Linked DNA regions of Sus scrofa. The protein of the gene in region 3 interacts with the protein of the main gene of each other region in a biochemical or structural test. Links are inferred from orthologs where the notes say so. Each region holds a gene or a part of one and is shown on either strand. Other genes may lie near its edges.

Evidence for each region. The genes of interacting proteins can lie anywhere in the genome.
Region 1: the proteins of GSK3B (region 3) and SREBF1 form a complex in vitro, tested with the Homo sapiens proteins (2 studies listed by BioGRID, with this or other methods). The link is inferred for Sus scrofa from reciprocal best matches to the Homo sapiens genes GSK3B and SREBF1.
Region 2: of the proteins of GSK3B (region 3) and EIF2B5, one has a biochemical effect on the other in vitro, tested with the Homo sapiens proteins (2 studies listed by BioGRID and IntAct). The link is inferred for Sus scrofa from reciprocal best matches to the Homo sapiens genes GSK3B and EIF2B5.
Region 4: the proteins of GSK3B (region 3) and MUC1 form a complex in vitro, tested with the Homo sapiens proteins (2 studies listed by BioGRID). The link is inferred for Sus scrofa from reciprocal best matches to the Homo sapiens genes GSK3B and MUC1.

What each region holds. Positions count from the first base shown.
Region 1 is NC_010454.4:60,739,322-60,745,371, reverse strand, and holds the start of SREBF1 (sterol regulatory element-binding protein 1), read right to left. Parts: upstream 4,061-6,050; 5' UTR 3,952-4,060; coding exon 3,933-3,951; intron 2,605-3,932; coding exon 2,173-2,604; intron 1,776-2,172; coding exon 1,588-1,775; intron 1,506-1,587; coding exon 1,368-1,505; intron 1,291-1,367; coding exon 1,069-1,290; intron 476-1,068; coding exon 361-475; intron 183-360; coding exon 1-182.
Region 2 is NC_010455.5:122,058,488-122,064,467, reverse strand, and holds the start of EIF2B5 (translation initiation factor eIF-2B subunit epsilon), read right to left. Parts: upstream 4,061-5,980; 5' UTR 3,968-4,060; coding exon 3,767-3,967; intron 2,087-3,766; coding exon 1,962-2,086; intron 861-1,961; coding exon 675-860; intron 584-674; coding exon 406-583; intron 317-405; coding exon 236-316; intron 1-235. UniProt on the Homo sapiens protein: Acts as a component of the translation initiation factor 2B (eIF2B) complex, which catalyzes the exchange of GDP for GTP on eukaryotic initiation factor 2 (eIF2) gamma subunit.
Region 3 is NC_010455.5:140,133,549-140,139,595, forward strand, and holds the start of GSK3B (glycogen synthase kinase-3 beta), read left to right. Parts: upstream 1-2,560; 5' UTR 2,561-3,653; coding exon 3,654-3,741; intron 3,742-6,047. UniProt on the Homo sapiens protein: Constitutively active protein kinase that acts as a negative regulator in the hormonal control of glucose homeostasis, Wnt signaling and regulation of transcription factors and microtubules, by phosphorylating and inactivating glycogen synthase (GYS1 or GYS2), EIF2B, CTNNB1/beta-catenin, APC, AXIN1, DPYSL2/CRMP2, JUN, NFATC1/NFATC, MAPT/TAU and MACF1.
Region 4 is NC_010446.5:94,624,243-94,630,403, reverse strand, and holds the start of MUC1 (mucin-1), read right to left. Parts: upstream 4,061-6,161; 5' UTR 3,982-4,060; coding exon of another isoform or gene 3,898-3,981; intron 3,449-3,897; 5' UTR 3,384-3,448; coding exon of another isoform or gene 3,333-3,383; 5' UTR 3,191-3,332; coding exon 1,802-3,190; intron 1,407-1,801; coding exon 1,351-1,406; intron 1,207-1,350; coding exon 1,076-1,206; intron 929-1,075; coding exon 807-928; intron 724-806; coding exon 574-723; intron 1-573. UniProt on the Homo sapiens protein: The alpha subunit has cell adhesive properties. Can act both as an adhesion and an anti-adhesion protein. May provide a protective layer on epithelial cells against bacterial and enzyme attack.

The DNA.
Region 1 (6,050 bases), on a different chromosome or scaffold from region 3:
GTCACTGCCACTGCCACCGCTGCTGCTGCCCCTGCTGCCGAGGGACAAGGGGCTGCTCTGGGAGGGCGAGCCGGCGTCGGAGGGGGGCGGGCTAAGGGTGTCTACCACCTCCGGCTTCACACCCTCCATGGGCACGTCGGTGCGGCCTCCGCTGCTGCAGGACACCAGGTCCTTCAGAGACTCTGCAGGCCAGAAAGGAGCAGGGCTGGGCGGCAGCGCCACGCCCACCTCGCCCCAGATCTGAGCGGAGGGCCAGGCGAAGGCCAAGGAAGGGGTTAAGGGCCCTGGCAGGGCCAGAGCCTAAGGTGAGACCAGGGTGGGGACAGGGCTGCAGGCGGGGCCAGAGAGGCCAGGACTCACTGCTTTTGTGGGCAGCAGTCCGCAGACTCAGGTTCTCCTGCTTGAGCTTCTGGTTGCTCTGCTGAAGGAAGCGGATGTAGTCGATGGCCTTGCGCAAGACGGCGGATTTATTCAGCTGCAGGGGTAGGAGGGGGACAGCACAGGTGGCTGGTCAGGCCAGACAAGCGGGCACCTGAGCCAGAGGGAGCGGGGCTGCTCCGCAACACAGCGGCCTCAGGACCTTTGCACCTGCTATTCCTTCTGCACGGAAGGTTCCTGCCCTGGTAGAACCTACCTGCCAGGCTGGGCCTAAGGGTTGACAGCAGCGTCTGACTAACTGTCGTCACTGTCATCACCACCTTCATGCCTCGCTCCCGAGCCCCCTTCAGACCACGACACCGTCGTGAGGCCCCCCCGACCCCGATTCAGATGTGAAACTCCCACCATCCCTCTTCCTGCTTCGTTCTTTCTGGCACAGCACTCAGGCCATCTGTCCTCTTTGCTGGCGCCCCTGGCACGCTGCTAGGAGCACAGGTGCTTGACAGCGGGGTGCCTGTCTGTTCCTGCTGAGTCCCCAGCGCCTAGGAGAGCCCGCAGCACACGCGCCTCCATGAAGCTTAGCTCAACAGACGGAGCCCCTGGGCCCTGGCTGTCCAGGCTCAGCCCCACCCGCCTCTGCCTTCCAGGCGGCCCTCCCCAGGGCCGCCCTGCCAGGGCCTCTGCCCGCACCTTCGCCTCCGTGCCCACCACCAGGTCCTTGAGCTCGATGATCTTGTCATTGATGGAGGAGCGGTAGCGTTTCTCGATGGCATTGTGAGCCGTCCGCTTCTCACCACGGCTCTGGCCTGAGCTCAGGGCTTTGCCCCCAGCTGCCAGGCGGTTGATGGGCAGCTTGTCAGTGTCCACTACCAGAGGCACCGTCGCCAGGATGGTCCCGCCGCTCACCAGGGTCTGCGGGCCCAGGCACGGTTAGGGCAGGCAGGCATGCATGCAGACCCCATGCCCCCTGCCTGGCCCGAGCTGCCCACCTGCAAAGGTGCTGCCTGCACGGCTGTGCCAGGGGCCAGGGAGCCGATGCCCGCCGCCTTCACAGGGGTCCCCATGTCTGTTTTCATGGTCGTCAGGAGCAGGGAGTCCGCCTTGATGAAGTGGGGCTGCAGCAGGACCTAAGGAAGGCAGAGGGCTCAGCTGGGGGCTCAGGGGCTGGCCGGGACTGCCACCTCCCTGGTGCCTGGCCAGCCCCCTCACCGGGACCTGCTGGATCTGCGAGGTCACAGTGGTTGTTCCAGGGGACACCACGGGGGTGGCCGTGGCTGTCAACAGCTGCTGGGGGGCCGCACTTTGGACCTGGGTGTGCACGGAGACGGGCGGGACCCCGGGCAGAGAGGCCAGCGGCAGGCCAGGCAGCGTCTGTGAGGTGCTCCCTGGAGGGGTCGCTGCAGAGACAAAGGCTGGGGCTGTGGACACAGGCCGCCCTGACCCACCTTCAACCCGCCCCGTCCTGCCCCGTCCTCATCACCGTGTGACCCTGGATGAGTCACCACCCCTGTGGCCTCAGGCCTATCTGGACAGGCCCTGCCTGGGGCTCTGATGCAAGTGTGCTGGCTTCCCAGCCACGCATTTATCTGCGCAAGGGCAGCGCTGCTGCGGACACCAGGGGAGCAGGGGCAGTGCGCCGGCAACAGGAGCCCGGGTGCTGCTAGGGACGGGGGCGCCTCAAGCAGCAGAGCAGGGACCCTGTTCCCAAAGGCCACCAAGTGGGACCTCCAGTCAGACCACAGCAGCCCCCTGACCCTGTGCTCCGCTGCCCCCTCCCTCCACACGCCCCCTTACCTGAGGAGAAGCTTCCAGGAGGGCTGGGGTAGCCCAACACGGGGGCAGGGCTCAACTGCGGAGGGGCGGGGGCTGGAAGGCTCTGGGGCAGGAGAGCCCCAGACAGGGGCTGTGGGGTGGGGGGCTGCAGGATGGTCAGTGGCACTGGCTCCTCCTTGATGCCCGGCCCAGGCGAGAAGGCAGGCACCGACGGGTACATCTTCAGCGGGGTGGGTGCAGGCTGGGTTGGGGACACGGGGGGCGGTGGCGGCGTCCTGGCCCCCCCCAGGAAGCCTTCAAGCGGGGAGCTCATGGTGGAAGGAGGCGGCGTCGGGCTGCCTGGGGAGCTGGCATCAGGACTGGTGGGGTCCGTGCCTCCTGCAACGCCAGCGTAGGGCGCGTCGAACAGGCCGGGGAAGTCGCTGTCTTGGTTGTTGATGAGCTGAAGCATGTCTGAGGGGAGGAGAGGCGGCGTCACGGATCTGCGCGGCCCTCGTCCACACCGTGGTAACACGTGGGAGCGACGCCACCAAGACAGAAAGCCACACACGGGCGCCCATGCTCGAGGACACAGATGTGCCCTGGCCCCTGTGACATCTGGAGCTTTGCCTGGTGCATCAAACAGCCTTGCGACACTGGACGAGCCAGTGCCACGCAGGCTAGGCCCTCCGAGGCCTGGGCCCCGACTACCAGCTCCAGAGCTGCCTCCCCAACCCAGCCCTCTGGGGAGCCCCAGCCAGCCCCTGCCCCGCGTGCGCCAGCCAGTGCATCCCTGCGTGTTCTGGGCACAAGCCCAAGCCCCGTCTGCAGCCAGGCAGCCTCGGAACCGGCCATTTGGGCTTCGGCTTCCGCTCCACAGAAGCAGTCGCTTCTGGCTGTCTGTTCCCCTTCCTCCTCGTGCCGCCTGGGACACCCTCCCTCCCACAGCCCCAGCCCGGCCACGGGCCCTCTCCCCCAGAAGGCAAGTAGCAGCCCGGCTGGGTCAGCCCAGGGCCCTTTAACCCACTGGGGGAGCCACCCACTGGGTCGGAGTGCTCTGCAGGCCCATGAGCAAACTGTGGGAACCCCAAGTGTGATCCCCAGCCTGAGCTTCCAGCTCTGCCCACCACCGACGGGCGGTGGGGTGTGGGCCAGTGGCTTCTGCCCCTGGGCCTCGGTTTCCTCATGTGCACAACAGCAAGATGAAAGCCCTTGTGGCAGGGCAGCCAGAGGTTCCGCAGGCAGGCAGCCAGCGGCAGGAGAGGGGCCTCGACACTGCCTGACAGGTGCTCCGGCGGGAAAGTGACTGCGCAGGGGGCCTTGCGACACCTCCGGCAGAGCAGGGCAGGGGGGTGCCAGGCTGAGCCCTCCTGGGCCCTCGGAGACCCCTTAGCCTACTGGCACAGGCTGCTTCCACCGGCTGGAGCCCCTCGCCCAGGCTTCCTGAGCCCCTTCCACGGATGGGGAAACTGAGGCCCAGAAAGAACAAGCGCCCGAACCCAGGGCTCCACTGTCCGTCCGGCAAGCCCACCATACGCCCCCAAAGGGGGGCCCGAGCGGCCCTTCTCCCTGGGCGGCAGGGGATGTGGGAGAGCTGCCCTCTCGCTTCGGAGCTTGGGGTGGGGGTGACTGCGGAGGTGGGAAGGGCCCGCCAGGTCCCCGGAGAGCCGGGAGCGGGTGCTCCTCCCCTCAGGAGCGGGCTCTCACTCGGAGCTCCGGCCGCCCCCCTGCGCACGGGGGCACGGACCCCACGGCGGAGACGGAAGCTCTGCTATAAAGGGGTGGGGGTCCTCAAAAAATACCTTCGAACGTGCAGTCCATGGTTCCGCGGCCCGCGCCCGCCGCCCCTCGGGGCGTCCAGGCGGCTGGCCCGCCGGTCTCCGCGCGCGGACTCCACCGGCCGAGGGCCGCCGGCCCGCCGCGCTTTAAAGCAGCGAAAGCCCCGAGCGCCCGCCGCCGGCCACGCCCCTCGCCGGCCCCGCCCGGGCCCCGCCCCGCCGGCCGGCCCCGCCCCGGGGCCGCGGGCCGGGCATGGGGTGAGCGCGCGCGGCCAATCAGCGGCCGCGCCACCGCCTCCCGGGGCCCCGCCCCGGCCCCGCCCCACCCCCACCGCGCGGTTCGGGTTGCGCCCCGCGGGGCCGCAGAGGGCCGGGGTTACTCGCGGACGCCGGCCCTTAACCCGCCCCGCGCCGACGTCCGCAGGGTTACTGGCGGTCACGTCCCGCCATCTCCGAGAGTGCGGCCGAAGGGGCTGCGGGGGCTGAGAGGCGCGGGGCCGGGGGTGGGCCAGGGATGGCCCAGCCCTCCGCCGCGGGTCTCAACCGCGCTAAGTCGCAGTGCGCTCCGGGAAAATGGGACGAGCACGTTTCCCTGCATCGACGGGGACAAGTAATGGGTGCAGGCTCAAGTGAGGCGAAGGGCTGTCTGGCCGTGGGGGCGGGGACCTCCCCCTCACGGCAGCCCCAGCGTGAGTCCCCACCCCGTGGGCCGGGGCCGGGCCACTGCCTGGAGCCTGAGCGAGTGCGGAAGGGACAGCCCCACCGCAAGTGCACAGCCAGAGCTGACGCCCTCTGCAGAGGGGCCAGGGTCTGGGGTGGGGGTCCGGGAAGGCGAACCCACCCCCACACTCCCCAGCAGTCTCAGGGGGGAGCCTGACTCACTCGCTGTGGGGTGGGGCAGGCCTTGGGGCGGAGGGTGACAGGCTCGGGGTCGCTGGGGGGCCACCTGGGCCTCTCTCGGCTTCGAAGGTCAGAGCGCCACACACTCAGAGGGACAGAGCCTGGCCAGCAGCCCAGGCTGCCAGCTTGGGCTTTTGCGGCCAAACAGACCCCAGGGCTCAAGCCGGCCTCCAGCCACAGCTGGGCCCAGCCCTGCTCCCTCTCCTGGTCTCCCGCAGCCTTAGAGGGGCCGATGGAGCCGACGGTGGCAGGTGGGGGCCGGTGGCAGGTGGGGGCCGGAGAGCCCTGGCCGGATGCTCTCCCTCTCCAGGAGGCTGCCTCTCCCACACACACGCTCCCCCTTTGCCCGGCTCCTGCCGTGGCCACGGCCGTGCGGGAGGGTAACGAGGGCAGCAGAATTCTCCAGCACCTCCACTTCCCTCTCTCCTCTGCCAGGCCCTCACCCGAAAAGTCACACAAGACATTGCTGTTGGGAAGGCTCTGACCTCGCCTGACTGAGACCAGAAGACACGAGGTCTGAATTCAAACTCACGGCAGGTCCTGTCCTCACTGTGCTCCCGTGTGTGAGCCCAGGACCTGGCAGGTGGACCAGCAGGGCCGTGGCCGGCCGCCCCACCGGAGCCACCTTCCTCTGCCCTTCTCCGCACTCTTGTGCTTCCCATTTCTCACCTGGCCATGCCCTGCCCCAACGCATCCAGACCAAGGAGGCAGAAGGAGAGGCTCCCAGCGGCCCTGCCGCCACCTCCTGGGGCCCACCCCAGGCAGGCCGGGAGACACAACCTAAGCTAAGATGCAGTGAGGAACAGGCACCTGGTGGCATGCAGAGGGCCACCCCTGAACTCATGGCCCGACTGGACTTCCCACCCCCGTGACACACACACATAGAGCCAATTTCTGCAGCAGCCGGGTGCCAGGGCCAAGAGGGGCTGGACCTGCGCCCCAGCCCTCCCTTGCTGTGTAGTCCCAGGGGAGTCCCTCACCCCTGATCTCGGAGGAGGGGGTTCTGGGAGGCGAGAAAGGCGCCCAGGGCACACTGTTTAAGGAAGCTCCCCGCTGTCTCACCCCAGTTCCCGGGAGAAAGGCTGGCCAGGGTTCCCCCCAAGTGGGGCCCAACCTCCAGTGAGCCCAGGCTCAGCTGCCGGCAGGAGGGGCGGCCCGCGTGCCCTTAACGCAGGGAAGAGAGGCACAGGTGGGCCCGCCTGCCCCCCTCCTCACCTTCCCGCCCTCCCCAAGCCAGACCCT
Region 2 (5,980 bases), about 18 Mb from region 3:
TCCCCCCAGCACCCCCACCCCACAAGACCTATCAGATACTATGACAGTAGGACATGGGCCAGAATCCTCAAAGGGCTGCCAAGGAAATACTGGGATCAAGATGATAATACCTATTTGCTGTGGAACAGATGAGAGCAACAGGGAAAAGAAATATACCCTGGCTTTCTACAGGGGTGATAGTAAACCCTCAGAGTTTTACTCTCTGGATGTGCAGCCGTGGCCCTGAAGAGCTCACCTGAGGAGAGCAGATGCTGATATGACAGTCCAGTAGATCATAGCGAATCTCCACTCCATCTCCACTGCCCTGGAATAAGCTCTGTGGGAGAGGTTACAAGGACTTTAACTTGCCTTTTCTGCTTGAAGCCTGTCACTTTCCCACCTCAAGGACCCTGTACACTCACACACCAGAGGAAAAGAAAAACGTCGGAGGCCTTGGGTCTTCTGGAAATGGAGAACCCGGTTTGTGGCACTATCCACAGCCACTACCACGTTGTCCTCATGGCAACGAGTTGGGTGGCTGGGGGATGACTCCTTGAAGATCATCGTCATCACAGATACATTTTTTTCTAGCTTCCGTCTTAACCTATAAAGGATAGGAGGGAGAGAGTTGCAAAAAAGCAGTCTTAGGGCTCTGCTGGTTCCAAACCCTGTCTCTACCGTTTCCCCATCCTGACCTGTGTTCTTCCAGGGCTCTGGTGACATTGATGTTAGAGATGACATCCCCATACACCAGAAGGAAGTCAGAGCGCACCAAAGCCTTAGCATCAACATCACGGAGAACGTCCCCCAGTGATCTATATAGGTCTGATGTTATTATTCGAACCACATTGAGGGATGTAGGGCGACACCACTTGGATTTCCTAAAGGAAGAGGGGTGAGGGGAATGAGTAAACCAAGCATAAGAATCACGTAGAGCGTCCCTATTTTCCACCCATTCACACCCATTCAACATTCATGCTCCTTTGCTATGGCTCTTTTTGGGTCCTTGCCAGCATCCTCAACTTCAAAGACATTTATGAACCGTAATGAATGGTTTCAGCATAGTTTGTCACTAGTCTTGTTTTATGGGCTAGAGAAACATGGTTATTTCCTCTCCATACCCTGACCCCTGTCTCTAAACATGGATTTGAACTAAACATCCTACTGAGAATTAGCTTATACAAAGCACCCTGGGAACACACTTTTCTCTTTCTGAAGCTCATACTGTCTGATGGAGAGCATGCTAATACCCTAGTCTTTATTTCCTAAACTTCAATAAATCTTGAGATTCACTCTTTCCAGAAAGATTTCATCACACATTTGTTAAGTACTAACAAAGTTTGGTACTAAGCTAGGCACTGGGAATACAAAGATGAAGAAGAGCTCAATATTTCATAGCTCAGTGGAAAAGCAAATATGTTACTTTTGTAACTTGCATACTGGAGCCACTAAATAAAAAGCAAAAACCTACTGGAACCAAACTTTATAAGTAAGATACAGAAAAAACCCAAATGCTATTCTTTAACTTTTTTTTTTTTTGTCTTTTTGCCATTTCTTAGGCTGCTCCCGTGACATATGGAGGTTCCCAGGCTAGGGGTCAATTCAGAGCTGTAGCCACAGGCCTACACCAGAACCACAGCAACACGTGATCCGAGCCGTGTCTGCAACCCACACCACAGCTCACGGCAATACCGGATCCTTAACCCACTGAGCAAGGCCAGGGATCGAACCCACAACCGCATGGTTTCTAGTCGGATTCATTAACCACTGAGCCACAACAGGACCTCCAAATGCTATTCTTTAATCTCTATCACAGCTTCAGCTCCTCACCTGCTAAGAGAATGCCCTTAGTTAAAGCTTATGATGGAATTCAAATAGATATATTTTACTCCCTTACAATTCCCTCTTATTTAGTTATAACCATTCTAAGGAACCTGGGGAAAAAATGGTGAAACATAGAAAGAAAAGTTGCAGAGCCTTACAGTAAATGTTCCTTGATTTGAGCAGCCTTCCAGCAACAAAAGACAAAGGTTTCCTGTACACCTGTGGCAGTCAGAAATTCCAGAGTGTAGTCAATTAGTGCCACATTGGCCAGGGGCAAGAGGGCCTGGAGGGTAGGAGATGAAAAAAAGTTTGAAGTATTGAATCCATGAAGGCCTTCTGGGTACCATTCCTTCCCCTTCTTCATCCACAATTTTCACTCCACTATCAGTGTGTTTAAACACCAGCTTTAATTTATTTTTCCTATTTAAAAGTAATCAGGCTCCTGCCTTTGATGTTCATGGCATGCTCTAAACATCAGTCTAATGTGTTGCAGTTCAGACATAGTAAGCATGGAATCTACATGCTTAGCATCAGACACAGAGCTGGTACTGAACAGGAGACTACTCCTGACAAAGGGTAACACTAGAGATCAATCATATCTCCAGAAATTTAAGCACCACTGAGGCCTTTTTCTCTACAAAATTTCTTTTCTTTTCTTTTCTTTTTTTTTTTTTGCCATTTCTTGGGCCGCTCCCGCGGCATATGGAGGTTCTCAGGCTAGGGGTCTAATCGGAGCTGTACCTGCCAGCCTACACCAGAACCACAGCAATGTGGGGATCCCAGCTGCGTCTGTGACCTACACCACAGCTCACAGCAACGCTGGATCATTAACCCACTGAGCAAGGGCAGGGATCGAACCCGCAACCTCATGGTTCCTAGTCGGATTCGTTAACCACTGCGCCACGATGGGAACTCCTAAAATTTCTTTTCTTGATCCTTTTCTAAGAGGCAAGGGCTAGTCATCCCCATCACTTGTCCAAAATAAACAGTCATTAGACTATTTGGAGGAAGTGAAGAGTCAAAGAGGACTTTTCCTGAATTGAATGCCAAGTCCCTTTCTTTGAACTGGGGACTGCTGAGTGACCCAGCAATCCCTAGGACTAGCTGAGGCCAATTCCCCAGCTTCTAGACAATGCAGGGATGTTGGCAACCAGCCATTAAACCCGTTCTGTTCTTCTTTTGACATATGGCATTGGCTCTCATTAAAACCTGGGAAGAAAAAAAAGCACACTTGGAGTTCTCCTCGTGGCTCAGTGGTTAACGAATCCGACTAGGAACCATGAGGTTATGGGTTTGATCCCTGGCCTTGCTCAGTGGGTTAAGGATCCGTTGTTGCCATGAGCTGTGGTGTAGGTGGCAGATGCGGCTGGGATCCCGTGTTGCTGTGGTTCTGGTGTAGGTCGGTGGCTACAGCTCCGATTAGACCCCTAGCCTGGGAACCTCCATATGCCGCGGGAGAGGCCCTAGAAATGGCAAAAAGACAAAAACAAAACAAAACGAAACACCAAAAAAACCACACTATACAAGTCTGCTCTTTTTTTTTGGGGGGGGGGACGACAATATGATCTCCCTTTTGGAGGCAAAAGGAGGTGACATTCCCTTTCATCACTCGATCTTATTATCCTCTGCATAAAGCCAGCGCAGCCTCCTCTTGAGGCACTGAATCCCAGAATGAAGGCTTCTCACAAGCACTGCTTCTGCATCAGCCCTTTGCAGAGCTCCCAAACCTGAGGTGGACAGCACGACGAGTGCTCAAATCTGCCAGCCACTCACTTGGTCAGGCAATCGTCAGGGCTTTAGACGGTCTCCTCGCCTTCCTCATAATCAGATAAACCCGATTTCTGAGAGAGAGAGTGGACACAAGTCCTTCCAGAGCCCGCCTCACCAGGAAGCCGAAGGGATAACTTGCTATAGCCCCGCCACCTCCAGGCCCTCTGGCAGCTTCCAAGCGTGCGGCGCTCACCCGAGGCTGGTCCTTGGAGATAGGGAAGAAACGGCGGTTGAAGCTGTCGGCCACCAGAACTGCTTGTAGGGGCGGCGGCGGTTCCTCCTCTGCCCCTCTGGCTGCCCCCCCGCCGCCGCCGCCGCCACCCTGTCCGCTGCCGCTGCGCTTGTTGGCTCGACCAGGCACCGGACCAGGCGGCGCCACCACAGTAGCCGCCATCTTCTTCTCTCACGGCCACCACTTCCGCACGGAAACTGACACGGCAAGCAGTAAGGGACAAAAAGACCTAGCACTCGAAACGCGAAGGACTAGAGAAGGAAGGGCGGGAGGAGCCGCGGAGAGAGGAGTGCGCATGCGTCTTCCTCAGCCCAGAGGTTGGGCAGGGAGGAGTGAGGTCTGCGGCCCAGCGCTGCGGAAGGTGACCTGTTGAGGCGCCTGGGCCTGGGGTCCTATGGACTGCAGAGTCTATTGGCAAGTAGAGTCGGCCGTCATTTGTACGTGAGCAAGCTGAGGTTCTTGCGGGATAATGAGACTTCTGGTCTTTGCGAAACGGCCAGAACCTTTCTGGATGTGTAATTTTCTCTGCCACCCCCCCACCCCAGCCACCTGAGCACCTCAAAAATTGTGGTCCTCCGTCTTTATTCTCGTCACCTAATGTGACCTGGCACCTTGGGGAATTCAGAACTGAGTCAGACATTCCTATCCCTCAGGGGACTAACAGTCTATGTGAATACAGAACGCGGAATAGTAGAGAGAGTAGTAACTCTGGTAAAGCGCTGATTGTGGACAGGAATGATACAAGCGTTATTGCACTTACTTCGTCACACATCTTGGAGAACCTTTTACTCATTCATTCAACAAACATTTCTGGAACTCTCAGTGGGATGAAGTTCATTCAGCTAGTAGATGGAAGAACTGGTATTGGAACCCAATCTGTAAGACGTCATAGCTCTACAATCTTTCTGCCAAGTTTTGCATGGCCAAAAATTTACTATTTTTTGACATCTTCATTCATTCATTCAGCATGTCAAGCATTTATTGAAACCCCATGGAGTGGGTCCAAGAACACTGTATTATTATTTTTCTGTCTTTTGTCTTTTTAGGGCCACACCCACGGCATATGGAGGTTCCCATGATAGGGGTCAAATAGGACTTAGAGCTGCCAACCTACACCACAGCCACAGCAACGCCAGATCCAAGCCGCGTCTGCGATCTACACTACAGGTCACGGCAACACAGGATCCTTAACCCACTGAGTGAGGTTGGGGATCGAACCTGCATCCTCGTGGTTCCTACTAGGATTCCTTTCTGCTGCTCTACGATGGGAACTCCCAAGAATACTATAAAATTGAGTAGATCCCCAAGGTAAGCAGCAAACCTTGGTGACAGAAGTGCAAAGGTGCTCGAGGAGCAGCAGCATTTGGGGAAAGAGGCAGTGGCTGAGCTGGTAAGCCAGGCCTGCTGAAGCTTGGGACCTCGGGGATGTGGTGGAAGCGAGGTGAGGCGGGTTGGGTGTCCTTTGGTGGGCAAGAAGCTTTCCTGCAAGGTACCTCACTCTTTTCGTTGGAATTCCACCATCCTGCAAAGTTTCTGCACAATTTGTTCCCACCCGAGGGCTGTGTTGCACGTCAGGATTTGGGGTTGGAAGGGCTGAGATTTGTTGTTTTCCCTTTGGGGCAGCAGCTGGACCGGTGGTACTCAGGCACACTCCTCGTGGGTCCAAGGAGTCTCTCATTTCTTCCCTTTACCAGTTAATGATGGCGTTAAGTGAAAGACCATTTCCTAAGAATTTTGGAAATTTTAGCCTGCAGAAGGCAAGTCAGTAAAAGTTTTCAATTAAGTGAGTGTACATTGTAGAAGGTGTTGGACTGTGCTACAAATCCACAGGAAAAAAGAAACAAGAAGGGTGAGTAAACAGGACTAGTAATTTGCGAGCACGCACAAGCGGTGGAGTGGAACTGTGATGAGAGTATGAAAAGTAGGTCCAATTGTAGAAAATTTTAAATGACTTGTGACACTTCTGAAAGTGTGAGAGGTAAATCCAGGGTTTGTAATTCTGTAGACTGGTAGCCGGATAGATAAGGTTTTAGTGGGTGGGCCTTAGGGAAACTCTTTCTGGACTCTTTAATCTTTTTTTTTTCTTTTTTCTTTTTTGCTTTTTAGCGTAGCACCTGAGGCATATGGAAGCTCCCAGGCTAGGGGTCGATTCGGAGCTATAGCCGCTGGCCTACA
Region 3 (6,047 bases):
TTGACCTACATCAAAACTCACAGCAACACTGGATCCTTTAACCCACTGAGATATTTAACCAGCATCCTCATGGATACCAGTCAGATTCTTAACCCACTGAGCCACAACAGGAACTCCAAAATTTTTTATTTTAAACAGTATTAGGTCAAAATATTTGAAGGCAGAAACAGTAAAGCTACTCATCATAACCTTAAGGTAGATCATTTTCGCACTTTATTATATACAAAATAACAGCCACAGCTTCAATTTGTATAACCTAAACATTTGTTATTAACTTTCCTGCTGGTATAATTTGGGGAGTAAAGAGGAAGGCAGGATTTCAAGATTTGCCTCAGTATTTTAGGGAGTAGTGGCAAAGGTCTTTCATAATCGCTCGCATGGAGAGGCAACAGTCATTTGACAAAGTTATCATGCACTGAGTTTGCTTTTAACATTTTTTACCCTTATCCATGGCATCCAAAGACCTTCTGTTCTGTGTTCACTGCAAAGAACAAGAGCTTCTACTGCTCCTGAGCTATAAAACCTCTGACCAGGTTTGAGATTACAAATTGATCGCATGCTGGCCACATCTACCCTGGGATGTTCTTAGTTGGCCTGCAGGGTTTGGAAATATGGATTTAAAAACTGACAGATTTCATACAAAAATCCTACTTTAGGGTTTCTCTTGGGGCAAAAAAAGTACAGAATATCTCAGAACACTGGATCCACATTCCTCAGGGCAACAATCTGCTACAGCTGAACAGCTGCTCCCTTCAGTTACAGCACCGACACTCCAGTTCGCCACATTTCTTATCACTCGCCATTGTCTTACACCAGGCTAGTTTCACTGATTTGCATTAATTTCCTGGTCCCAGTAGATATTTAAGTTTGCAAATCCTATGCAGACCGTTCCTGTCCCCCATTAAAGCCTACTTTAGTCCCAAGTTCCTCAACAGTTTTCCAAAGCAATAGCTGGTTAATCTGATCAAGTATGGGTATTTTCACATGTGCTCTCTAGTGACAGCATCTTAACAGAAAGGGATGACTCTGCAGGTGGAAACTACAGGGACCACGGAATTAAATAAGGATGGCAACTGTCCAGTCTACCTTTTTTGCTATCCTGACGTAGCCATACCTCACTGTCCTTAGGCAAACTATAGCAATCTGAACACTGGTCCACGTGTGAAGACCGCTTAGTTTATAGATCACCCTACTTCCAAAGAACCCAAACTGTGGAGGGCTATTCTGACTCCCCGTTTCCTCAGGGACTTCAGGATATCCGGCCTGACTGCACTTCCCCTCACCTGCTCTCGGGCCCATTTCGCTGAGGGCAGTCGCGCCCGAGGAGCGCGCGCAGCCACCATGAGCTCATTTCTCAGGGGCGTTTCTGGAAGGTCGGGCCTGGGCGCGCCCGCGCGCGGGGCTGTCGGCCTCACTCCTATCACTGGCCTTCGCGTTTGGGCGGGGCGCGGCCGCGCAGAGGTGGAAGCTTTGTTCTCAATTTAGCGTTTGAGAACTCGCACCCCTGCCTGGAAGCACACTGAATCCGTCCGGGCCTTTCGGGGAAGTAGCTGGCACTGGAGACGCGCTCTCCCCAGCGGAGGGAAACCTTGTGCGCACATGAGCCCCGCCCCGCCGGGAGCCTGTAGTCGGGAGGGGGAGAGAGCCCTTAAACCCTCAGTTCGCTTGAGCGCTCCGAGCCCCGACCGGCTGACTGCAGCAGTTTCCCACTGGCGGGCGAAGGGCTCGCGCTATCTGCGGTTTTCACACAGGCTGCGAGTAGCCACAGGCAAGCCTGTCTGACCATCCACCACAACCCCAGACGCGCTTCTCCCGGCTGCCGGGACCGCCGCCGAGGCCGAAGGCCAATCACACTGCAGCTAGGTCTCGCGATTGGAGGGCAGTGAGTGCCGATTGGCTACTGCTACCGCTTTCGGTCTCCCTCCTTTTCCCTTTTGCCCCCACTCCAGCTCCAAAGCTTGAGACCAATGAGAAGGCGCTTTATAGAGCCCTCCCTTCGCTTTCTACTTCTCCCCACCTTGGCCAGGGAGGAGACGTCCTGACTGGTCAGACTGTCCTCGGAAGCCCCATTCTCTTCACCAATCACCAAGGGAGGTACACTCCCAGCGGAGTTTTGGCCAATTACAAAGCGGTTGCAGCTCCCAGCCTTGCGGTTTCACCAGCAACTCCCGGCTTCACAGTTCTTAACTCTTCAAGCTTTTTCGTGAGAGCCGGCGACTCTGATTGGCCGCTGCTGCCATTGTCGAATTTCTCCTCCAGCCAGCCACAGTATCACTCCAACCCATCTTCTTCTCGGTCGGCTATCTTCGGCACTTTCCGCCCTTGGGCGTGATTTCCAGTGGTACTTTCTAATTGGCTCCTCTGGCCGATCGGCTTTTTCCGGGAGGAGCCGCAAACAAACGACGTCCGTGATTGGCTCCGCTCGGGCTTCGGCTCCCCTGCCGAAGGGGGCGGGCGCCGGGCTCGGCCGGCAATTCTCAGACGCCTGTTACGCGGGCGGAGGGGCGCTGGGCGGTGTAAGGCTGGGTGGGGGAGGAAGGAGGCGGAGGACGAGTAGGAGGGGGGAGGGGTTGGGGAAGAGCTAGGCGGCTGCGCAGACGGCACTCCTCACACAGAACAGCCCCCGACCCGGGCGAATGCGGGCTTTCGCTGCTGCTGCCGCCGCCGCTGCCGCCGCCGCCGCCGCCGCCGCCGCCGCCGCCCGGGCCCGAGTGACAAAGGAAGGAAGGAAGCGAGGAGGAGCCGGCCCCGCAGCCACTGACAGGGCTTCGGGCTGGGGGCAAAGCGCGGACACTTCCTGAGCGAGACCGAGCAGAGGCGAGGGGCGGGAGGGAGGGCGGTCGCGCCGGTGCCGTGGACGGGGGAGGGGGCCCCGAGGGACGGAAGCGGTTGCCGGGTTCCCATGTCCCCGGCGTATGGGGAGCAGTCGAGGAGCCGCTGCCTGGGGTCTGAAGGGAGCTGCCTCCGCCACCGCCGCCGCCATGGCCGCTGGATCCAGCCGCCGCCTGCAGCTGCTCCTGGCGCAATGAGGAGAGGAGCCGCCGCCACCGCCCGCCTCTGACTGACTCGCGACTCCGCCGCCTTCCAGTTCGCCGGGCCCCAGCCGTCAGCCCGCCGGATCCCGCCGCTGCCGGAGCCGCAGCGTTTCCCGTCGCATCTCCGAGCCACCCCCTCCCGCTCCCTCCCTCCTTCCCATCCCCCCTTCTTTTCAAGCGTGAGACTCGTGATCCTTCCGCCGCTTCCCTTCTTCATTGACTCGGAAAAAAAATCCCTGAGGAAAATATAATATTCAAAGTACTTATTTTCAATCAAGTATTTGCCCCCGTTTCACGTGATACATATTTTTTAGGACCTCCCACCCATTTCTACCCTCCAAGGAAAGGGAGGGGAGAGAATTGTATTTTTTTTTTCCCCAGTCCCAGATCATCTATATGTTAAATATCCGTACTGATCTGTCTTCAAGGAGAAATACATCGCTCGCATTTTTTTGTCGCTATACAAAAGGAGTGAAGAGCCAAGAGGACGAAGTCTTTTTTTTTTTCCTGTGGGAGAACTTAATGCTGCGTTTATCATTAACCTAACACCCCAACATAAAACAAAAGGAAGAAGAGGAGGAAGGAAGGAAAAGAAGGTGATTCGGGAAGACAGTGATCATGTCAGGGCGGCCCAGAACCACCTCCTTTGCGGAGAGCTGCAAGCCAGTGCAGCAGCCTTCAGCTTTTGGCAGCATGAAAGTTAGCAGTGAGTATTGATTTTATTTTACACTCTTTCTCCACCTCACCCTTTAAATAAGAGACTTTGAAATACCAGGATCTTAAAATATGATGTCTGATATAACAATCAGAGATAATGGAAAAGGGCAGAAACCTGTCTTCTGTCAAGGATGAGGCAGCTCCCTCTTTTCTCCTCCCATACTCCCTCCCCCGGTCTCATTAACCTTGAATAGAGGGAATATGATTTTTATTTGGATGATTTGACTTGAAATATTTCTTATAGTTTTCTTGCCAGCTTTATCAAGCGGTTGACTTATTTCCATCTTAAAATAGTGATGGAAGTGTTTACTTGGCTCATTCTCATGAATAAAGCGAAGGACAAGATTCATAAACCATTATGTGCTTTTGCAGTGTGTCTTTAGGAACAAGGGATAGTTAGCTCAGATCTCAGGGGTTATCATAGTTTTGTACACTTAATAGAGGAGCTAAATGTCACAGTCTCTTAACAGTTCTTTCTTGCCTTTGTGACTGTACAACGCATTTGTTCTTAATCCAGAGATGAACTTGCTCAGTGACCACTTTCACATTTCCAGGCAAGCATTGATTCCTCCTCTTAGAAGGGACCCGTGAGGTTGATACTCAGTAGCAGTAGTATCTCAACATGCATTGTTTTAAGTCTACCACTATAGAGTTAATATTTAATCAAAAGGTAACTTGGAAGTAGGTCCTGGTTTTGATCGAGATTTGTATTGTCATGTTGTCAGATACTGAGTTGAATGTTAACTGTCACTGACCCTCCATATATCAGTTTTGGGGATGCCATTGCATTCCATACATGCTAAATGATGTAAAGTTCAGGGGTCCCTTCTTAAGACTGTTTAAAATACTCTTGCATTGGTTTTCTTTAGGTAAGACTATCCAGTTAGAGGAATATGGATTTAGACCTTTTCATCATAGGTTTTGCAGAATGCTGTGGTCCTGGATATAATAGGGTATAATTTGGGCTCTGTTCAGGGTTATTACTAGACTGGACCCTCTTGCTAGATTTGTGCAGAAAAGTCTAGTTGAGTGGTACACTAAGTGTCAGATGTTCCTGTGTATCTCTGTTTATGTGGAATTTAAAGAGTTTATTTAAACGTACTTTCAGAATTTGACAAAAATATCTATTCTGTTTCCTTATTTCTCAAGAAAGGGGCATGATGAGGACAACGAAAAACTATTTGGTTGCCTAGAAGAAGGAGAGAATTGAACTGAGATTTTTTTTTTTAAAGTATATGCTGTTATGTGAAATTGATTATATCCTTAAACAGCATAATATAATCACTCTTAATTGAACCCAGGATTTGATTCATGTTGGCCTTTGGAGCTTGCCTAAGACAGTGTAGTCCAAGGTAATAGCTGAATGGTAGATTTTTTTTTTTTTTTTTTTTTGAGAGTTAAATTTTTTTTTGGTGACTAGCTAGTTGAGAATGCAGGGTATGTGAAGAGGGAAGCTGATGATGCATCTTTCAGGGAATGGTCAAGCTTTCTAAGCACTTCATGGGGTCATTTGAGAGGAATATTTTAAAATTCTGGGGTAGTTTTCAGCTATGATGAAGCAAATCTTTTAATAGCTACTTAAGAGCCTATTGTGGTACTGGAGTGTTAGTATGTTTTTCATCTTAGTTAAAAAACTCCTCATAATCAATTTTAGGTAATTAATTTATTAGATCTATTTCAGAGAGCAAAACAATAGCTTATAATATTAAAATTTGGGACTTCATTTTGTTTCCAGGATTCTCTTTGAAAATGACGCTTTAATTCTTGATAGTGTGGGTGTTGATTGAGAATGGAGTAATTCTTGCAAAGTGTGTGAGTTAAAGTGTCTTTTTTATTACTTCATGCAGCAACTTAACATTTAAAAAGTTGGAGTTCAGTGCTAATTATGTGTTTTTGACAATCTTAATTTTAAAGATGTTTTAGAAGAAAGGGGAGTAGTTAAGCATTAGAGTGCTGGTGTTCCAAAAGACTCCTGTTCAAAAGAGGGATACATAAAAAATTATAGACGTTAACCTGAAAAGCTTATCATTTAGTTGTTGAGGTAGTTGTTTAGTTTGTATGGGACAAAATGTGAAAACAGTATCATGATGACTACAAGATTATGTAAATACAAATAGAAAGCTTTGTACATAGGGATTAAAAAAAATAAAGGGTTGAGGTAAATGGGTTGGAGAGGATAGACTTCCTGTAGAGGTGTCTTTTAAGACAGGGGTTAAAGGAGGCTGTAACTTGAATTGACAGAGAAGCATAAAGGATTCTAGATGGAAGGAATGAAGAGAGGCACAGAGGTGGTGA
Region 4 (6,161 bases), on a different chromosome or scaffold from region 3:
GTCCCAGAGAGAAAGGCCAGGAGAAGAAAGAGGGAGGAGGGATCTGGGCCCCCCTCCAATTCCTAAGAACCGCAATTCCCAGAGTCCCCACCCACCGGCACCCAGGCTCACCCCGCTTGGTGAGACTTCTTCCTCAATTCGGAGACCCCTTGGCCCCACCAGCCTGTCTCAATCTACCCTCCATTCTTGGGAGACAACCAGAGGGCACAGGGGCTCATTCCCTGTGAGTCCTGCATAAGGGGCTCCCCTGGGTGCTGTGCCCCACTCATTTCTCCTCTGGGCAACCCAGGAAACAGCCCAGGCACTAATTCCTAATTCCGCTGAGCAGTGACTGCTCTGCTGGGAGGGCTGGGAGTGGGGGGCACTCTCTCTCGAGGTCCCCTTTCTCCCGTGGTCTCTGCCCCAGACCTTTCCCCCAGAACTCCTCTCACCTCCTCCCCCATCCATGTCAGGCCCTCACAGTCAATTCACCTCTCACCTCTTCTAAGTTCTCTGGGCTTCCCCAGTACACCATCAGAACCCCCGCCCAGCCACAGCCTCTGCCTCTCTCTGCCTGGGGGGGCCCATCCTCACCTGCTCATAGGGGTTCCGTTTGGTACTGCCGGGGGGCACATAGCGCCCATGGGTGTGGTAGGTGGGGTACTCGCTCATAGGATGGTAGGCATCCCGGGTCGGAAAGATGTCCAGCTGCCCACAGTTCTTTCGTCGGCACTGACACACAGCCTGGGGAGATAGGAGGTTGAGGGGGACCGCGGAGGGCCTGCCCACAGGGGGACCCTGGTCAGGGCTAGGGACTGAGCACTTACCAGGGCGATGACATAGATGATGGCCAGGGCGACCAGAATACAGACCAGCACCAGCAGGGCAATGCCCCAGCCGGGTACCCCAGACCCAGGCTGAGCAGAGGAAGGAAATGGTGCATCAATCACTGGAAGGAAAAGCAGGGCTCAGGGCAGTCTACCAAAGGAGGTGACCCTCCCCCTACCAGCACCAAGAGAAAAAGCAGCCCAGATGCCAGAGAAAGACTGGCCCGGGGCAGTGTGGGGCTGGGTGGCAGCTGGGGAAGTGGCCTCACCACTAACTTCACTGATGGTCAGGTTATAGGTGCCTGCTTCCGCTTTAAGCCGATCAAACTGTGTCTTCAGGTTGTGGGCAGCGGCACTGTCTTGGAAGGCCAGAATCAGCTCTACCAGTACAGATCCTGGCCTGGTCAAAGAGAAATGGGCAACTCAGCCACGGGGCCCAGCTTCTGGGTCAGCACATCCCTCACAACCACAAGCATGCCAACCGCTGCCCACAGTCATGACACTGTCCACCCATCCCACACAGAGTCCACCCCGAAAACTGTACCTGAACTTGATATAAAAGAGTCCCAGAAGCCCGTCTTCTTTATAAACCTGCAAAAACTGAGATGAGAGGGAAAGGGCTAAGTTTTTGTTTGTTTGTTTGTTTCTTTGTTTTTTGTCTTTTTTTTTAAAGCTATTTCTTGGGCTGCTCCTGCGGCATATGGAGGTTCCCAGGCTAGGGGTCTAATCGGAGCTGTAGCCACCGGCCTACACCAGAGCCACAGCAACGAGGGATCCGAGTCGCATCTGCAACCTATACCACAGCTCACAGAAACGCCAGATCCTTAACCCACTGAGCAAGGCCAGGCATTGAACCCGCAACCTCATGGTTCTTAGTCGGATTCGTTAACCACTGTGCCACGATGGGAACTCCAGGGCTAAGGTTTGATGCAAGGGGTTGGAAAAGTTCTGAAGTCTGCTTTAAGGGAGCATGGTAGAGGAAAGGCAGTACTCACCAATTCAGAAATCCTTCTTTGCAGATCCTTGTAGTAGCTGGTGGTGGGATCTTCCAGGGAAGAGGTAAACTGGAGGTTTGTAATGCGAAGATACAGGAAGATCAAAGAGACCATAACCGAAGATTGCTGAGAAGTCTTAGGATGGGAGGAGGTGGGAGGGACTATGCTATGGTTAGTGCTGTTGGCAATTGTTCTGGTAATGTGGCTGGCAAGAGTGGTGGGAGTATCAGAGTGGTTGCTAGGAACTGAAGATGGAGTACCTTTGCTGACTGGGGACATGGTAGCCTTGGAAGAGGTGCCCATGTGTGTTGGAGTGACAGTTGAGCTTGAGGCAGGGCTGGTGGCTGGGGTGGAGGTGCCAACATGGACTGGAGTGGTGACCAAACCTGATGCAGGGCTGGTGGTCGGAGAGGAGGTCCCATTGGTGGCTGGAGATGAGGTGCCATTGGTGGTTGGAGATGAGGTGCCATTGTGGACTGGAGTGGTGGCCAAACCTGATGCAGGGCCGGTGGTCGGAGAGGAGGTCCCATTGGTGGCTGGAGATGAGGTGTCATTGGTGGTTGGAGATGAAGTGCCATTGTGGACTGGAGTGGTGGCCAAACCTGATGCAGGGCCGGTGGTCGGAGAGGAGGTCCCATTGGTGGCTGGAGATGAGGTGCCATTGGTGGTTGGAGATGAAGTGCCATTGTGGACTGGAGTGGTGGCCAAACCTGATGCAGGGCCGGTGGTCGGAGAGGAGGTCCCATTGGTGGCTGGAGATGAGGTGCCATTGGTGGTTGGAGATGAAGTGCCATTGTGGACTGGAGTGGTGGCCAAACCTGATGCAGGGCCGGTGGTCGGAGAGGAGGTCCCATTGGTGGCTGGAGATGAGGTGCCATTGGTGGTTGGAGATGAAGTGCCATTGTGGACTGGAGTGGTGGCCAAACCTGATGCAGGGCCGGTGGTCGGAGAGGAGGTCCCATTGGTGGCTGGAGATGAGGTGCCATTGGTGGTTGGAGATGAAGTGCCATTGTGGACTGGAGTGGTGGCCAAACCTGATGCAGGGCCGGTGGTCGGAGAGGAGGTCCCATTGGTGGCTGGAGATGAGGTGCCATTGGTGGTTGGAGATGAAGTGCCATTGTGGACTGGAGTGGTGGCCAAACCTGATGCAGGGCTGGTGGTCGGAGAGGAGGTCCCATTGGTGGCTGGAGATGAGGTGCCATTGGTGGTTGGAGATGAAGTGCCATTGTGGACTGGAGTGGTGGCCAAACCTGATGCAGGGCTGGTGGTCGGAGAGGAGGTCCCATTGGTGGCTGGAGATGAGGTGCCATTGGTGGTTGGAGATGAAGTGCCATTGTGGACTGGAGTGGTGGCCAAACCTGATGCAGGGCTGGTGGTTGGAGAGGACATGCCAGTTGTGGTCCTGGATGAAGTGCTAATGTGGTCTCTGGTAGGGCTGATGGTCAGAGATGAAATGTCAGTCTGGGGCTGGAGTGCTGACCAAGCTTGAGGCAGGGCTGTGGGTGATGAGTGAACTGCTGGTTGCGCTCACAGCACTTCCATCAGTGGAGCTGGGCATTGGGCTGCTTTGGATATTTGAAGTCTGTGTATCTCTGCTTGTGTGGCCAGAGGTTGTAGGAACTGCTGTCTCAGAAGAGGAGACGGCAGCTGTAAGAAGTTGGGGTTACAGAGTCGGATTGGGGGACAAGTCAGCACAAGGAGAAAATATACTCTCTGGCATCTGGAGAAGTCATACCAGGAGGATTTGGGGAGTGGGGCCCCTAGGTCAGCCCTCCTCCTCCTCCTCCCCTGCTGGCAACCCCCCTCTCTCTTCCCATATCCCCCTGCTCCTGGCTTATCTCTTTCTCCGCTGCCAAGATTTGCCTCTCCAGACTTCAGCCCCACCCCCCGCCCCCACCAAGCTTCTCTTTGGGACATCCGCCTGCTCTTGGCACCCACTCTCCTGGGGGGCTGTCTAGTCTCAGCCTGTCCTTGGCCTCTCTCCTTTATTCGGGCACAGACTGGGCCATGCCTGTCTGCAACTTCTGCCTCTTGGATGCTCTCTCCCAGGAAGCAAAACTCACAGCAAGGCTGGGAAGACCCCAGGAGCAGAGCACCCCCCCCTCCCCGGGCCCCTCACCTGTAAGCACTGGGAGTAGCAACAGCCCGAAGAAGAAAGGGGCCTGGATGTCCCTTGTCATGATGGCGGTAAAGTGGTGGGGAGGGGGCAGAACAGACTCAGGCAGGTGCTGCGCATGAGGTGGAGCAGGCACAGGCGCCCGCTGCTTTATACCGGTCCCCCGCCCGCCCTCCGCTCGGCCAGAGCAGGTGACAGGTGACAGAGCTCCGCCCCCTCCCCCTTTCCCTCCCTCCTCCCTCTTCCTCCTCCTCCCCAACCATTCCTGGCCCCTCAAATAGGGTACGTGGGCTCCAATCACTCAACCCTCTGACATGTTTGTTCTTCAGCTGGCCTTCCCCTTTCACCAACCACTCCCTGGCTCCAGAAGGCGGTAAGACGGAGCCTGGGACCTGACCTGGGTCCTCTTGGCTTCAGTTTTACCCCCAGGACAACAGCCAAGGTGAGAAAAGTAACAGAGAAAGTGGGCTAGGTCAAAGTCCTGAACCGCAAGGTGGGGGGTCCGCAAGGTGGTGGAAGGTCCCCCACACCACTGCCCCATTCTCATTGGGTCCCTTGCAGTCCCAATCTGGGGGCTGAGAAAGAAGAGGAAGGCTTGATGACGAATGAACAGGTACCAGTTTGGGACCCCCCCCCTTCCCCCACTACTTCCCGGAATAGCCCCACCCTTCTAACAGCTCCCTGCGGCGCTCCACACGCAGTTTTACCCCGAAACCCAGTCCCCGCCCCTGCCGGACTTGCCAGCAGCCCGAGTCCTTCCAAGACTTTCTCCCGAGAAAGGGGCGGGGAAGAAATTTCCATTAAAGACGGCGAAATCTGCGTTTCACCGAATCTTAGGGTCTTCCCCGGTTCTCCGCCTGGTAGCGGCGGCTCGCTGGTCGGGCTCTCCTGCCCCCTAGCGGTTACCTGGAGCCTCACCGGGCCTGCATGAGCCGGCTGAGGGGCAGCCCCGATCCGCGGAGAGGAGGGTGGCGCTGCCTAAGTGGGGGCAGAGAATGGCTTGGGAGGGCAGAGCCCCGGCCAGAAGAGTCGGTGGGTTGCTTGGACAGTGGAGGGGAGGAACAGACAGTACCACCACTGGAGGGGCTGGAAGCTTTTGGGGGGGGGGGACTCTGAGGCGCGTGGGGGCGGTGTCTGGAGGAAATGGCGCTAAGTGGGTGGGGTCTGAGTTACGTGGAAAGGGGCACTGAAGTATTTGGGCGAGGACATCGGAATGTGGGAGGGGGAGTGGAACAGATGAGTTATGTTTTCAGGAGGCAGAGAATAGGTGGGGCAACCGAATGGTATTTGGGGGCACAGAACTATCCTTTGGGGAGTGGTATTTGGGGCACGTAGGCACAAGGTGGTGGTGAGGAGTACAAAATTGTGTGTGATGGTGCGCGATTTGTGAAGATCAAGGGGTATTTTGAAGGGCAGAAACATATGGGATCAAGGAAGAATTTGGAGCCACTCGGCACGTGGAGCTTATCGGGCCCCATCCGGAGGTCCTGGGTTGCGGTCTTGGCGCATAGAAGCAATTACGTCCGCATTAAGAAACAATTCTTAGCCCCAAAGAATACAAATTGAGAAATAAACTTTAAGGACACTTCGGTGCGGCGGGATTGGAGGGAAGCCCCAGGAGGAGAGGAACGACAGTTGCAGCGCGCGCTCGGCTTTGTGCGGCCGCCCGACCCGGGGGCGGGCGCGGGGCGGGGGTGCGTTTACGTCTACGCGCCCCGGCGCTAGTCGGAGAGGCGGGGAAGACCCCCCCTCAACCCGCCGGCTAGAGAAAGCGCGAGTATCTAGGTGGGCGGCCCCAAAACTTCAACCCCCCGGCGTTGCCAGGCAATAGCCATTCAGTTCGGTTGCTGGGACACGCGTCACCATGGCGACGGCTCCGCGCCGCGCAGTCTGAGTATTTAAAGAGCAAGCGCGCGCAACGCCCGGGCGTCGGAAAGCGGCCTTCCGGGATACCGCGGTCTCCCGTTCTCGAACCTCTTCCCCCTCCCCCTTACCACCCCTTTCACTCTCTTCCGGGCGCCAAGTCTCTCTGCCCTCCAAGGTGAACCCAGCTCCCCAGCGCGTCCCCGGTTCTCGGGCTGATCCGGCTTCAAGCGGTGGGGAGCGGGATCCCGGGCCCCGGGCGGGCGGGAGGGACGGGACGCGGTGCAGTGTTGTTCTTTCCCCTGCCAATATTGCACTCGTCCCGGCCTCCGGCCCCCCCGGCCCCCCGGCCTCCCCCTCACCCGAGCAGGGCAGCCCCAG